Linked DNA regions of Oreochromis niloticus. The protein of the gene in region 1 purifies or fractionates together with the protein of each later gene. This does not show direct contact. Links are inferred from orthologs where the notes say so. Each region holds a gene or a part of one and is shown on either strand. Other genes may lie near its edges. The genes, in order: pex1 and pex26.

The links.
Region 2: the proteins of pex1 (region 1) and pex26 purify together in Homo sapiens (affinity purification with western blotting; 3 studies listed by BioGRID and IntAct, with this or other methods). This does not show direct contact. The link is inferred for Oreochromis niloticus from reciprocal best matches to the Homo sapiens genes PEX1 and PEX26.

The regions. Positions count from the first base shown.
Region 1 is NC_031985.2:22,584,550-22,592,565, reverse strand, and holds the start of pex1 (peroxisomal ATPase PEX1), read right to left. Parts: upstream 3,157-8,016; 5' UTR 3,025-3,156; coding exon 2,917-3,024; intron 1,727-2,916; coding exon 1,580-1,726; intron 1,480-1,579; coding exon 1,396-1,479; intron 1,245-1,395; coding exon 1,130-1,244; intron 979-1,129; coding exon 293-978; intron 178-292; coding exon 58-177; intron 1-57. Other genes in the region: rbm48 (RNA-binding protein 48), read left to right, coding at 3,277-3,405, 3,656-3,846, 3,929-4,074, 4,273-4,802, 4,899-4,961; clxn (calaxin), read right to left, coding at 5,079-5,129, 5,217-5,321, 5,456-5,607, 5,710-5,814, 6,448-6,606, 6,807-6,882. UniProt on the Homo sapiens protein: Component of the PEX1-PEX6 AAA ATPase complex, a protein dislocase complex that mediates the ATP-dependent extraction of the PEX5 receptor from peroxisomal membranes, an essential step for PEX5 recycling.
Region 2 is NC_031981.2:14,340,086-14,347,562, reverse strand, and holds the start of pex26 (peroxisome assembly protein 26), read left to right. Parts: upstream 1-4,414; 5' UTR 4,415-4,481; exon of another isoform or gene 4,482-4,568; 5' UTR 4,569-4,582; coding exon 4,583-4,755; intron 4,756-4,841; coding exon 4,842-4,979; intron 4,980-6,196; coding exon 6,197-6,522; intron 6,523-6,623; coding exon 6,624-6,764; intron 6,765-6,868; coding exon 6,869-6,981; 3' UTR 6,982-7,477. Other genes in the region: hcls1 (src substrate protein p85-like), read left to right, coding at 1-89, 173-241, 473-609; llph (protein LLP homolog), read right to left, coding at 2,617-2,780, 2,972-3,188. UniProt on the Homo sapiens protein: Peroxisomal docking factor that anchors PEX1 and PEX6 to peroxisome membranes. PEX26 is therefore required for the formation of the PEX1-PEX6 AAA ATPase complex, a complex that mediates the extraction of the PEX5 receptor from peroxisomal membrane.

The DNA.
Region 1 (8,016 bases):
TCCTTGTACTTCATTTACATCCGACACTGTAACGCAGATGTACATTCCAGCACTCACCAGTGGATTTAGGGGTTGTAGGCAAATAGTAGAAGCTACTTTGATAGCTGATTTCACTGACTTAATTCTTACTGTTGAATGGGCAGGGATATTCAGCCTGCTGGCCAGAGGCTCTGGAATCTAAAAAATGAAAGATACAAAAATTTTAACCAAAACAGAAAGAACTAGGGCACTGCGGTATAGCTAAAATACTGTTTATAAACTATATATTCTCCTCTTCAGACACCATACTCACCCATACTCTTCCACTGTGAATCTCTCCCTTGCTTCTTTCCTTGCATCCAAACAGCTCGGTACAATGGCACACTGCCCTAACCACCATGGCCTCCTCTTCCTTCACCTCCTCTCCTTCAGGTGTAGCAGTCTCCTTAGTAACTCTTGGCTTCTTCTTTTTCTCCATTGCCTGCTTGGTTCTGTCCCTCATTTCTTTGGGGGATGGGACTTTGGAGAGAAGGCCATATGTAATTGAGGAGTGACCTTCACTCAGCCTGGCATTGAAACTGTGGCTCCAAGGAAAGATGTGAATAGCATTAGTTGCAACGTGGCTTATAGTGCTGAGAGAGTGGGGAGGTGAACCGCACACTCTGTACAGAGAGTCCGTAAGGAGAGCGGGGATTTCAGGTAAAGGCGGTTGTTCCTTAACTGGGTCATAAGCGCCCTTTATCATGTGATGAAAAAGGCTTTTCAGGTCTGCTATGCCACCCCACTGGTGGCTGTTAGAGGTGGAGGAGGTACTTTCTGATGATGGTCCTGAAGGGGAGGAGAAATCCATGTTTGGCTGTCTGTGAAAACTTTCTGAGTTTGGGTTGGCTTTTAGTTGAGAATGTGTGTGGGTGCCAGTTTCTGCGCGGATCTTCGGGGACACAACAAGTTCTGTGAACTGCTCCAGGCGACCGTAGGGCACACGTGGAGAAAGTGAAGCTGTGCAGAATTTAAAAAAAATTAAACTGTATTATATAAGTCAAACATTTAAAAATGAAGTTGAGCAGGCAAACCATTATAACTGCAATATTTCTGTGTAACATGTTATTTGATAAACAACATATAACAGAATAATTGTATCAAAACTGACCTATTCGGATAAAGATTACCGTGTGGTTGTCCACCCACACAGGAAACACGGCATCTTGGAAAACTACTCTGATCTGATCCAGTAGTTGCAGCTCCAGTGCAGAACTGTGGAGCTCCTGGCGATGTCAGTCACACAAAAGTGATATATTAATACTTCTTAAGAGTGCTTTAAAAAGGAGAAGTCACCTTGTAGTTATTAGAGTGTGTAAAATAGTGCAAATTGTATGAAGACAAGTTTCACACACTGTATGTAACTAAATTACCCACCAGGATTTCCCAGTCATCAGCTGATACAGGCTCCACAAACACCCGATCCAATGATGAGACCTGATGACATGGCCTTAAGAAGCCCTGAGGGAAAACAAGCCAGTAAACCAAACAACTAGTAAGTCCAAAATTAGCTTCTTCTGTAAATACAGCGAAGAACAGATTCCTCACGGAGGGACTCTACCTGCTCTCCATCTGTCAGGCCCTGCTTCTCTCCTAGCTGCCGACACAGCTCCACTTTGTGGCTGTCCAGGCTAGAGCTGGCTCTGTTTTGAGTCCAGGTGAGGAACACTGGAGGCCCATGACCACAGGACAACTCCAGAGGCTGGTTCTGAAAAAGACCGTAAATGGGTTGACTGTGAATGCCACTGTATACAAAAGTATTCTAAAGTCATTGCCAAGTTGCATCCCATGCAACTTGGCAATGACCCCAAATTAGAGCAGCAAATCTACAACAGAGTGGCTGTAAAGGAAAGGAATCAGTGTGTTGCAATGGCCCAGTCAAAGTCCAGACCTCAGCCTGATTGAAATGCAGGGTCTAAAGAGAGCTGTGCATAAAAAAATTCATGCAAACACTGTGAAGTAGAGTGGGACAAAGTTTCTCCACAACACTGCGAGACACTAATAAAGACATAAATAAAATGGTTACTTCAATTTAGTGCTGCTAAAGGTGGTTGTACCAACTTTACTGAATCAAGGGGTGTACTTTGTTTTTCACATGACTGCATGTTTGCTGAAGCACCTTTTGTTTACCCAGACTATACCATGACCATCATCCTTGCTTGCAACCATGCTTGAGAAAACAAATCCTCCTCACTCAATCCATTTTACACAGTTTAGACTAATAATGACAGGGTTAACCCAGTTCTGAATCCTTTGTAATTAAAGGTCAAACTCAAGGAGAGAAAGCCACGAAACAGGAATTCCTGTCAGCCAAAAAAGTGCAAATATAAACAGAAAGCTCTCATCAGAAAACCACTGTTCATTCATAACAGCGAACAGGACACAAGCTAGAAAAGTCATTTAAAAAATACCCTTAGACCCCGGATTCATTTCTAACACAGTCCTTTGCCTCCACCAAGTGAAACCGTAAAGGAACTGCTACGAAAACAGCTCCACCGAGAAGGAAACAAATACTGAAATACCAATTGCTAACTACCCTCTCTCTCCATATGCTGAAGTATTGTGTTTGACTCAGCTCCTCTTCTATCTATATTCAGAGCATGTTTCCAGCCGGGCCGAAGTGGAGTGAATGGAGTCATGAAAAACTGATCTTTCAAATTCATTTGGTCTAAAGAGCAGCCTGACGCGAGGCTGAAGTCACATTTTATTTTGTAATGTGAATAACTGTCAAAGGGTCTCGAAAATTAATTTACAGCAGCATTAATTTTGTTAAAAAATAAAAGAATAGAACAACACACAGAACGGGCCAACATTTTAGCTAAAAATGGTTTAAGTCAACAAAGCTTCTACTAATTTTACCTAAACGATAGTGCTAGGTGGTTAGCTAGGCTATCTTACCTCGTTCAGGGAAAGCTGTGATATTAGCTTCAAGGGAAGGTGTAAAAAGCAGTTTTTTGCGTTGTTAAAAGTGACCGTTACGGGTTGAATGCCCTGATTGCTAAACATGATTTTCACATAGTTTTCTATTTCGCGTTCAACGCGTCAAGCAAGCTGCACCGCTAACATCAAGTGTGTGACAAACTCATAGTCGATCGATGTGCTCTGTGTGGGCCAGGCCAGACCAGAGTAGCCGATATTCGGTTGAACGCATTTCAGAATAAGACATCCAACGACGCCATGCTTTGAATGAATCCTATTCAACATGAAAATGAACCTTTATTTTGAAATGCATCAAGTGAAAAGTTCATTTCCACAAACATGGCGGCTCCCGTCAACAACAGCTCTGGCTGTTGGAGAGTCCCGGAGGTTTACAAACATCACGAACAGCGGAGAGTGTGCATTTCTCGACCAAAATATAGGGAAGGAAGAAAAGCCAAAGCAGTTAAGGTAAGAAGACGCTTCTGTTTAGAAATATTTGACCAAAAGAGCGTATCTTAAGGTGTGAGACACCCCCTGCTACGTGGGAACGCCACTTACAGTGTTGTTAAAAAACATCTGCTCCCGGATTTTATGGACTCCAGTGAACCACAGTGAGAGCCTTGACCACATCTAGATGATAAATATAACCACTATTCGCAGTTTTCACATGAGCATTTTTCCATCAGTGTACCGCAGTCAAGTGTTGCATTATTTGCAGGTTTACACCATAAATTTAGAGAGTCGTTACCTGATGGTCCAAGGAGTCCCAGCGATTGGGGTTATGACTGAGTTGATTCAGCTGTGTGCCCTTTATGGAGCTGTGGAGGAGTACAGGCCCCTGGACGAGTATCCTGCCGAGGAGTTCACAGAGGTCTACCTCGTAAAGTTCCAAAAACTCACAAGTGCCAGGTACAAGATGTAACTTAGACTGTTCATTATGCCTAACTTGCAAAGTCTGAAGGACCTTCTGAATAATTTGGTTTTGTTTCAGAGCAGCAAAGCGACGCATGGATGAGAAAAGTTTCTATGGTGGTGTGCTGCATGTGTGCTACGTCCCCGAATACGAGACTGTGGAAGACACCAGGCTCAAGCTGCAGGACCGGAGGAGCTATGTCATCCGGGCTGCTCAGAAGAGAGGTATAATTTTATATCTATAGGTTATATTTTGCCTCACAAAAACGACCACTCCAATGAGAAACATCTTAGTTCCTCATTAGTCCAAGCAAACAATTTCCACCATTTCCCTTTTGCACTTTTATTTTAATTTGACTCGGATCTTTTTGAATGATGGGGATTTCTAAACTTTTTTTTCTGTCTCATTTTATTATTGCAAAGTGAGAGAAAGGGAACAGAAAGAGGACACACAAGAGGAGCCTTCTTCATCAGAAACAACTACCATGTCAGATGACAACATCCTCACACACAAACAGACCTCTGGAAATGACAATACAAGGGAGACTTCAAACGTCAGCCACTATTTAGGCTTTCCTCCACTGCCATTACCTCCCCAAAAACATCATTACCATAGGCCTAAAAGTCAACATTTACCGACAGAGGATAAAATGGGGACTTTACACAATACCTGTGCTGGCACATTCGAGCAGCGAGAAGGGAGTTCAAGGAGCAAACAGACCTTATTGAGCAGACAGGCAGCACATCAGGCTGCGGCAGTCAGATTTCTTCCTCGGACCACACACTTGGAGAAACGGAAACGCAAAATGGAAGAGGCTGAGGAGCCCTCCAGTACTGTTTCTGGGCAGAATGAGCCTTTGATTGGACCAAAACTACCAGAACCATCCAAACTGGACATGGAGGATGAGTCACTGAACACAACTGTCAGCCTGATCAGGAACACAATGAAGCAGGTACATGTGATTATATTGTTTTGGTTGTAGTTAAGGACAAAATAATATTTTCACTATGATCTAAATCAGTTAAACCAGTTTCATCGTCTCTCCTAGGTGACATCGAGTCCAGACATCAAACCAGTGGAGAAGAAGGTCAAACCACGCCGTCGGATTTGATAGAGCAGGACTTTTTATTTATTTATTTTTTATTAAAAAATTTTGCATCACAGGACCATCTGCCATTGAGGTTAATATTAAAGATGTTTAGGCTGGGTATGGAGTTATGTGATTTGTTTATTGTTCCATTTGTTCCTGAAATACGCGTCCCTCAAACATCTCGATTCTCTGAAAAAATAAGAAAAGCAGACTGTAAGATTGAGAATTTTTGATGGGGAAATTTAAAGAGCTTAGAAGCTTCTCATTACAGATTACCCTGAAGTCAGGAAGGCAGGTTCCAAAAGCTTCCAGCAATAGGTTTTCATCTTTCACAGCCTTTTCAAAATCTTCAAAAGACAATTTGCCATCATGGTCATAGTCCTGTGGGAGGAAGCACCGTTGGCAGAGCTGGTAAACTATTTACAGACCTAAGAATTTTTTAAATAGTGTTTTGGGTTTGTTTTTTGTTTTTAAATCATGTGTAAACAGTTATATCTGTGCAGCAAACAGCTCACCATCTTCTTCAGTATGATCTCCACCAGGTCTTTGATTCCTTCGTCAGGGTCCTCCTCATTGGGTTGTCTGATGAGCCTGCCCTTCAGCATATGAAGCATCTCCTCTCTAGAGATGGCGTTGTCACCATTCAGGTCGTACACAGTGAAGCAGTCTGAGCCATGCCAAACACAGGGATTTTTTTAGGTAGATAAAGCTACATGTGTGAAGGTGTGAGAGTGAGCTTAAGCAAAAAAAAGTAAGATTGAGAAGTTACATTTTATTTTTTCATCCAAGGTCCCCCGAAGAAAGACAGACAGTCCGTCGATCCACTCTTTCATGCTGACAACGCTGTCGTTGTCTTTGTCAAAGGTCCTGAAGACTGAATGACAGCCAGTTACACTCACAACATGTCTTGGATTTAATTATAGATTTCAATTGTTCGTACTGAAGAAATTGCTCATTCCCAACTCTGTACTCCTGGACAAGCGTACTGAAGGATTTAATTTAATCATTCTGAAAGAGGTGGTGCAAGTGAGAATTCTGGGTTGTGCCAAATTGGAGAGTACTTACAGGGTGATAGTGATGATTTGGAGATTTTGCTTACTTCACCATTTTATTGACATTTTACTATTTCAAAAAACAATCTTGGCTCTGTTTGAATTTTATGGCACCAACATATCTCAAGACAGCTGAGAGGGCAACAGTAGGGTGCAAAACTAAGTGGTACTAAAAAAAAAAAAAACGATGGAGGAAGATTTTGCAACTTTAGGTTAATTGGCAGAAGGTCACTGACATGAATGGATTTTTTTTTTTTTTAAAGCATCTTGGAGAAGCAGAGTTCCTCAAAAGTAAAGATGGGCCAAGGTTTGCCAATCTGCAAAAAACTGCATCTACAGTTTATGCAAATTCAAAATGATCAAATTTACATTTTACAGAGCGTCCCACCTTTTTTTTTTTTTTTTGGAAATGGGTTTATAAATAATATAATTATAAATAACCGTAAACTGAATACCTCTACCCGTCATCCTGTCATCAGTCAGTCCAAAGATGCTGTGGAGTGTGCTTATGAACTTCCCTCGGTCCAGACCGTGCACAGCTCTGCCAGAGTTGTTCTGCTCCGCCATAAGCACGTTAAACTCTCGGATAAGGCACTCAACCTCTTTTTTACTGACTATAAACAGAAACATAAAACAATGGCGTACACTTCATCTGCTCTAACAATACTTAGACGGCAGTGTGTATTTTCATACCTGCTAAGTAAAACAATGAACCGTAAAGCTTAGCATGGACTGCACTAAACTACCGCTATGACAAAGCTGGCTTAGTTTATCCCGGGTTTATTGATTTGAGAAGTTTAACTGTCATACTCACAGTGCTCCACTTGTTTCGAAATGTTTTCAGCGAGCGTCTGTGTCGTCCTTTTGTTCATAGCAGATATTTTTGACATTTTCGATGGGGCCAAACTCAGCTACAGTCCACTCACAGCGAAGTTGATGTACTGTCGCCATGGCTACCGCGAAACGTTCAGGGTCGCGTGTGTTTAAGAACCTCGACGGTTCACTACAGGTGGAAACACCGTAACTACACATCATTTTCTACTTGAATTTTTAGTGCAGTAACACAAACGAAAATATGTCCCAACACTGACTGTCCTGTATCTGTTCCACTAGAATGACAATGAACCGCTGGCTGACCAAAAACCCTTTCTTTAGGGCTATTTATTGTCCTTCAGGTCAACACGTTCATTTATATACTGAACAGGTACACATGAAACATGTTAAAATAGTTTTTTAACCCATCATCAGACCAAAATCACACATCAGAAAGAGGGCGGCTATATACTGTTTATGTTTATTATACAGTTTTGGGGAAAGAAATGTTTACTTTTAGTCACTTCAGGAACCTAATTAAAGCTTTGCTAAAATTTATATTTACCATCTAAGGTATCTTGGTGTTTGAGAAAAAGAAAAGAAAATGTGGGTGTTATGGAAGAATAGTGCAATAGTAATAGTCAGATTCATCAAAGCTACTAGTCCAAATATATATATTTCATATATGCAATCCGAATTAAGTAAAATTTAAATGCATATATCTCATAATATTAATCATTCATTTAACGTATTATAGCCCAATCTTCTTTTAAAAATGACTTTCTCATATAAAATGTACTTGTTTTTCCAGATTGTAGCATGCTTGCAAGGCATTTTCCAATATAGAGTGCCCCATTCCTGATGGGGTTTTTTTTTTTTTTTGGGTCACATTTAAGTTTGAGACAAAGCAGCAAGGCAGCTAGAGATGATTGTTTGATGGTCATTGGATGAGTCGTTAATGTGTTCTTGGAGTAATTTTGGAGGGCCGGCCACTCCTGGCAAGATTTAACATTGTTTTCTCAGTTTGTTGATAATGGCTGGAGTCCCAAAGCACTAGAAATGGCTTTGTTGCCCTTTCCAGTCTGACAGATGTCAGCGACTTTGTTTCCCAGCAGTTTCTTTAGAGGCATGATGTGTTACTTTTTGAAAACTTTTAATCCACTTCACTTTGTGTGATAGGTTCTATTACTATGTCATTTCTTGATTCAACA
Region 2 (7,477 bases), on another chromosome or scaffold:
TCTGCCTGAAAGGTCAATAGAAGTGGATGATGATGGTGGAGAGTATGAAGACATCGGTCATCCCCCTCCTCCTCCTCCTCAGCGTAAAGGTGTGCCTCTAAGCAAAGCCGTGAGTTAATCAGGACCCCTTTCGTGGCTACTGATCATTAATCTCGCATATTTTATCTCCCAGCTGACGATAACGACTATGAAGACCTGACATGTGGCCAGAAGGCAATTGCAATTTATGACTATCAGGGAGGTAAGACTCTCCATTTTCTATGTTTCATGATAAATGTGACCTTGTGCACATATAAATGTCACACCTACACATTCAGTACTCATTGTGGAATAGCTGATCTGGGCTACTTTGGTTTGCCTTGTTTACACACTGAAAGGGGATCGTGAGCACAGGTGTTCCTTTGGCCTTTGACGCGGTGACACAAGTGCTTAAATGTGAGGATAAATCCTTTGCTTTTCTTTTTTCACACAGAGGCCGATGACGAGATCTCCTTCAATCCAGACGACATAATCCACAACATAGAGATGATTGATGAGGGCTGGTGGAAGGGACAGTGTCACGGACGTACCGGTCTGTTCCCGGCTGCTTACGTTCAGCTGATCGAGTGAGCAACACGCTCCCAAAGTCTATTTTTGCACAAGCTTCACTTAAACAAACTTCAATATTGTTGAACAGAGGGAGGAATTTGTATTTAACAATCAAATCAGAGCAAATTTTTTAAATCAGTTGATTTGTGTAATATTTCGCTTTGAATGTGCCGACTGGAAAAGCATCAGGCCAATCCTGATCAGAAGCAAACATGTACACCTCTGCAAGGAACTGAGGGTATATGACCTTATTCTTCATTTCTTTCACTGGATTTTTATTTACCAATGTAATCACAGTCATGACCTGAAATGGCTCTGCTATTCTAATAAAATCCTCCTGGCAACCTGTGTTTTGTCTTTCCTCTGATGCGGTTACACTGACCTAAAAACACTGTTTTGTGGAGCACCAGCTGATCATTTTAGCCATCGCCATCTTGGTGTTTGGACACAGTGATAAGTGAGGTGATAATTAATCCTTAAACATGTAACGACTCTGCAGCGGGCTATGCATGATTTCTTGCGCACTTAAACGTTGCATGTTCATCAGTATAACACCATGTTTATGTTAGTATTACAAAAAAAGGGAGGCATTATGAAGTGTGGGAAGGAAAATCCTTAATATGTATTCTACTGTGAAACAGTAGCTTCAAAGCTATGCAGGCCAAGTCATCTTCTCTATGCACAGCCACAAACCATAATGGCTGGAGAACATGCGTTTCATTATTCTACCCATGTTTACAAAATTAAATTATAAGAAGCCAACATTGATAATAAAACATTTTGTCTAACCCTAAACAGTAAAAGTAGAAAACCCTCGCAAAAAGATTAGGCCAGTATCACGTTAACTATGGCCAAGCACCGGCATTAAACAGGTTACTTTATTGTGCAGCGGTTTAGGCAGTTACCTGACAGGTGAAACAGAGCTATAACTGGGGAGACACAGGTCTGGCCTTTTATGATATACCTCCATAGCAGCCACTGCTGCACAGATATAGCAAAAATAAATCACCAGATGATAGACATAGCCTATGATGCACATTTTAAGAAATGTTAACGTTTTCCTTTTCAATATATTGTACGAGCCGGACCTTCTTGTAATTTTTTTAAAAGTGCTTGACTTCGGCTGCTTTTTTTTAAACTCATTTTCAGCCCAGTCATTGTACCCGACCATTTCAGAGGAATATTTGTTTGATTGTTGAAACGCTTAACACTGACCTATGAATCATTCAAGCGTAAAACCCCCCCCCACCTAACTCAAGATATGTGTATACACATAACAGACAACTTAGCAATGAACTAATTTTAAGTTGTGTTTACTAGTCTGTCACCAAAAACATCATTTATTGTCATTTCTTTAGTTGAATGTATGAAAAACACCAAAGATAACACAGTGTGAGGGGCTTGAAATAGGAGTTTTGCACCAACGAGGTGATTGTCGGCATATCTTGGCATGTTGTGCATGCAGTGTGTCCATAAAAAGAGGAAACCGGACAAGTACACGATAAAAGCGGCACCATCACATCTGCATCCACCATGCACTTTTGCACTGTTCTGTAATTGTAAAGAATGTGCATAATGAATTAAAGTTATGACAAACAACAATTGAAATTATAAATCATATTAAAATACTAATAATTCTGTTTTTTTGACACACCTCCAGGAGTTGCATGATGTCAAGAAAATGAACAGAACAAATCATAGGACAGATTTTTTTATGGGAGTTTAGAGACTTAACTTGCGGCAGAGAATACACGTGCACCACTCACATTTCTGCAGTCAGACGCACTACACACACGTTTTCCGTGCGCTGATCTCAAGTCAGAGAGGGTTTTGCTGTTCCATGAGAACAAACCAGTTTCTGCAGTGAACTTTTGTACGATCTCAGGCTCTGTGGCAAAGCCCGGGAATCTTCAAATCCACCAGACACAATGAAATTTAATTAAGAAACACAACACTTATCACAAAAGGATGCTGTGTTTCAGCTTCCAGAGTCTTATAGCTAAAATGACGGTCTTCCCGTTTGGTGGTTTACCAGGCAACATTCTTCTTCTTCTTGCCCTTGCCACCTTTCTTTCCCAATCGTTTGCCCCTCATTTTCTTGGCCTGCCGCTGGCTCATCCACGCCGGATACTGTCCATGTTCATCCAGAAGAGTTTTCTTGTTGCGCTTGCTGTCCATGTCCATCTTCCCATCTGAAACACAGACACACAGCAGTGAGGACGGCTTCAACATGCTCACAAGCGGTTTCCTCATGTTTGCAAACGATACATGTGGCACAGAAAAATGTGTGACATCACCTCGAAATTTAAAAAAACAAAAAACCCCCCCAAAAAATCAAAACAACAACTATTAAGGCTGCTGACTGTGGTGCTCACTGTCTTACCATCAGGTTCTGCCTCCTCCATGTTAACGTCGGCCTGCTTCTTTATCTTCTCAGCTGGCACCACTGTGGCGATCTCCTGCATGTCAGTCATGACGACTTCTCCTTTCTTATCAAGGGTCAGAGCTTGTTTCAGACGATTCAGCTCCTTTGGAGCGTTCTTCTTCCTCTTCTCTGCCCGCATCTTTCGCTTCCATTTACTCCGAAGGCTTTTTGCCATTTTAAAGATGCTGCGAACACATTAACAAATCACCAGTCAAGCAAACTTGGGTTCACGAATTTTTAGGACTTTCACATGTATCCATACACCACGCAACAGTAAAAACAAGCGGTGAAGACAAATGGATGGTCTGAGGCGACATGTCTCGCCAATGACTGCCGATTTCTTCCACACTACCTGAGCTGAAGCCCAGGATTCAGGAGGATGTTTGGATTTTAATTAATCTATGATTTACTTTCAGGAACGTCAAGACGATGTATATCATTTAAATATGACACCTATTTGTGTAGGTAGAATGAAAAAAATCCATTTATAACGTTTTTTTAGTAATACTACTAACAAAACAAAAAAACAATGAAAATAAACTGTGCAACATCTTTACAAACTAACTAATAAAGTTAAATAAACCTGGGAGAGAAGTCTAAATAAAACTGATCACGCATTCAGACTGTCTTCTTCTACACCTCTATAAACATTGAGCTGGTCTCTAGTACCCAACACTGATATTAAAAATATTAAAAAAATCCCAGCAGATCAGCATCTTCTTAAACACTCAGACCAACAACTATGCCGCATTCAAACTCACCTACATCACCTTTCTTTCACATTTCACTAAATCCACCGAGTTGCTGCCGCGTGACTGGCTGAATCGTAAACAGATGTACCTTACAAAGTGGCCGACGCGTGCAGTACTACAATTTCCCTTCCATGATTAATAACGTAAACCTAAGGACTTTATAGGCAAGTTAGGATTAGCGAATCCACTGAGCTGTTAAACCTCAACAAAACGGGAATGAGCAGCTTCGGTAATAAACTTTAACGTTTGGTCTGTTGAACATTTACAGCACTAACATCATCAACATCATCATCATCATCATCATCCACCCCCCTCCAAAAAGAAATGGTAAAATGCTGTTAATTCCGTTTAGTTACACGATACTGGCCGTCACAATAAGCCTAGCAAGTTAGCTACCCAACTCCTAATGAGGCACCAGTCTTAAAAACACATAAAAATAGCCTCGTTCCCTCATTAAACTCATACAGGTGTAATCATTAATCCACTATATGACATACAAGTCTGACTTACTTCCCACAGAAGCAGCAGATGAGCTTCTTGACGCTTAAACTGTGTGAACAACACACTCTTCTACTCCGCACACGTGTTTAGAAGCTTGGGGAAAAAATGAATCACGTGCTTTGGAAAGAGCTGCAATATGATTGGCTGCCTCGGACATTCTGAAGACTGTGGCTTCTGATTGGACAGTGGACTAATACCAGGAAGCTAAACGGAAGGTAAACAAACCGTTGTGGAAAATTTCGTGCTTAGCTGCAAGCTAAAGTGCTTTAAACCCTTTGAGTGTTTGTTGGGTTTGTTTTAAGTTCATCCGGGAGTCATGAACAGCTTCCAGGCCGCCAGCCCTCCGCTCTCTGCTGCTGTGACCCAGATGTTCAACACGCTGGAGTCGGCTGCAGAACAAATGATGGTGCACAGAGACTTCCAAGCGGCTTTTGACACATGTCTCAGAGGTCTGGAGAGTCTCGATGGCCTGGAGCCCGAGGACAGCAGGTGAGGGTCCTGAAGCTTCACGCACATGTGTAACTGGAAGCTTGGATGTTTGTGTTATAACACAAACGTCTTTAATGTTCCTGCAGATGTGCAGAGCTCAAGGCTGGTTTCTGCATCTTAGGGATTCAGGCTCTGGCTGAGCTCAATCAGTGGCGTGATGTCCTCTGCTGGGTCCTGCAACAGTATGAGCAGGAGAAAATACCAGCGAAGATCATGCAGATGTGGTGAGGAAAGAGTTTCATTATCATTATCATTATTATTATTATTATTGTTGTTGTTATTGTTATTAGACACTGATCTATTGATCCCCAGCCTTTGGGCAGGTGGACACAATATGAAATAAAGTATAAAATACAAATCGTATTAGGGTTCAAATATGCAAATTCTCCAAGACATGTTTTTTCAATCAGCACATTTAATCCGCCATTAACTTAATCATGAATTAAAAATGAAAATAAAATTTAATTATTTGTTATGAGTGCTGTTATAATCAAACCTTATATTAATGACTTCAGCCTTTTTTGATAAAGAAATGTTTTTGTAGTAAATAAAAGACATCTGTTATCACAATTATTTAGGCTTAAATTAATAAATGTGTAAAATGACAGAGCAAGTTCCACTAGCTCATTGCCCAGACTGTCCCATAAATATAAAACTAGAAGTTTTGACTTGATGAGCCATATTTTTTTTTAATTATTTTTTTTACCTAGTGAGGTCACATTTGTGAAAGCCCACACTGTTGTACAAAGTGTAAGAAAAAGTGAACTTTTATTTATTACTCAATTGCTTTGATGAGGTCTGAATGGCTATGGAAGAGGTCTTTATCTGTAGGAAAAACTGTGAAGTCCAAAATGTATACCCTCCAAAGCTCTGCAGCAGGCAAAATTGGAGACTGTAATCCCAAATCTACTATGTCAGTGGGTAGGTCCAGTGAAAAATGGTTGGCTTTTTTAAATATTTGGACAACGACTGGAAATGGGTGATAAACTCAAAAAAAATCCTACATAAAAGTGACCTTTTCTAGTAACGAAACAGACATTTATCACACCCTGATATCCATAAATTTGGAGCCAAGGTTCCCAGATACTGTGCCAATACTTAGAAACTCTTTCCTATTTTAACCTCTGACTTCTGGGACTGATGATGACATGTGTGGTGCCTTCAGAATTAAAGACTGAAGGACAAGAGTGCAGGACAGCCAAAATAATTTATTTCTGCTAAAGGGGGTGATGTGTTTGTTTGTGTTTTACAAAGAATTGAGAGATATACATGATCACACAGTGGATTTTAAGTCAGACGATCAAGATATGACTCACATGTAGACTTTAAGCTTTAACATAAGGGGTTAAGAAAAGTATTGCATTAACTATTTAGGATTTTTTTTTCTTTAAAAAATTCAATAAAATTCTTACTAATGTGATTTTGTGTCTCATTTTGGCAGTATACTTCTTTACTCCAAGGTGGGTGAGCCTGCTGTAATGCAGGAGGTGACCAGAGCCTGGTTACACTACCCGTCCAACAGCAGGGCGACTAGCTTCAGGACCGTCGCAGAGCTGTACCTGCTGCATGTCCTTGTGCCGCTGAGAGAGGCAGACGAGGCTCGGGAGCTGATCAGAGGCGAGGTTTTTAGCAGCGCCTTCACAGAAGAACACAGACAGACAGCGCTGGATATCATAGAAGAAAAAGAGCGACAAAATCAAGACCCTCCTCTAAATCCCAGGATGAGTGGAAGCTCTGACGTCACTGAACATCCTGTCTCATCCCAAGGTCTGACACTTCAGCCTAAACCCTTATGAGATGCATTACGCCAAGCGGCCTAAAAAAGACTGAAACTGTTAACTGTTTGTGATTTTGCTTTTGTTCTGCAGGTACTTTAGTCCATAAACTTGAGGCTGTGATCAGGTTTTTATACCGAAAACTCCTGATGATTGGTTCTGGCTCATTCCCTTTCCGGAGAATCTTTCTGACTGCCATCCTCCTCTACATGCTCTTTTTTCGGATGGATCCAGGTTGGGTGAAATGTTCCTTAGTTCTACTGGTACATCATCATCTTTTAGAAGTTAAAATAAAAGTGACTGTAAATGCGTTTCTGTTGTGCTTTTTTTACCTGCAGCTCTCCCGTCTGCGTTCATGTGGATTTCGAAACTTCTGCAGCTGCTCAAACAGATGTGGAACGCCATGTTTGCACCCTATTATCAGGCAGTCACTCAGAGCAAAGGACTGTAGAGGACTGAATATGCTAGGTCTATCATTTTAAATGAATTCTCTAAGGACTGTTTGTAAGACAACATGGATGATATTCACGTCAGATCTATAAAACATTTAAAGCGTCCTCATTCCAGGAAAATAGCTTCTTTTTTTTTAAGCTGCAGACTCTTCAGCTCACATGACACAGCTTCCCATAAATTCTCCCCAGCTCCTCACTAATACATCCTTTGTTTGTCCATCTCAAAGCAACACATGAATCATCAAGAGTCTGATGTGTGTTTTTTTTTTTTTTCTTTTCCTTTTTTAAGTCTGGGAAGTGACTCACTGTTCTGGTTCAGAGTACCTAGAATGATGAGTAGGGGTAAGAAAACAGTTGCAATCAGTGTATCACTGTAGGAATCTGAAATTTGTTAAATGATTATAACAATAGTTATAATAGTCAGTTTAAGTTTTGTGTACTGCAATGTGCTGAGGTCCTGTGGCTGCAAAACAAGCCTAAACCATGACCCCTCTG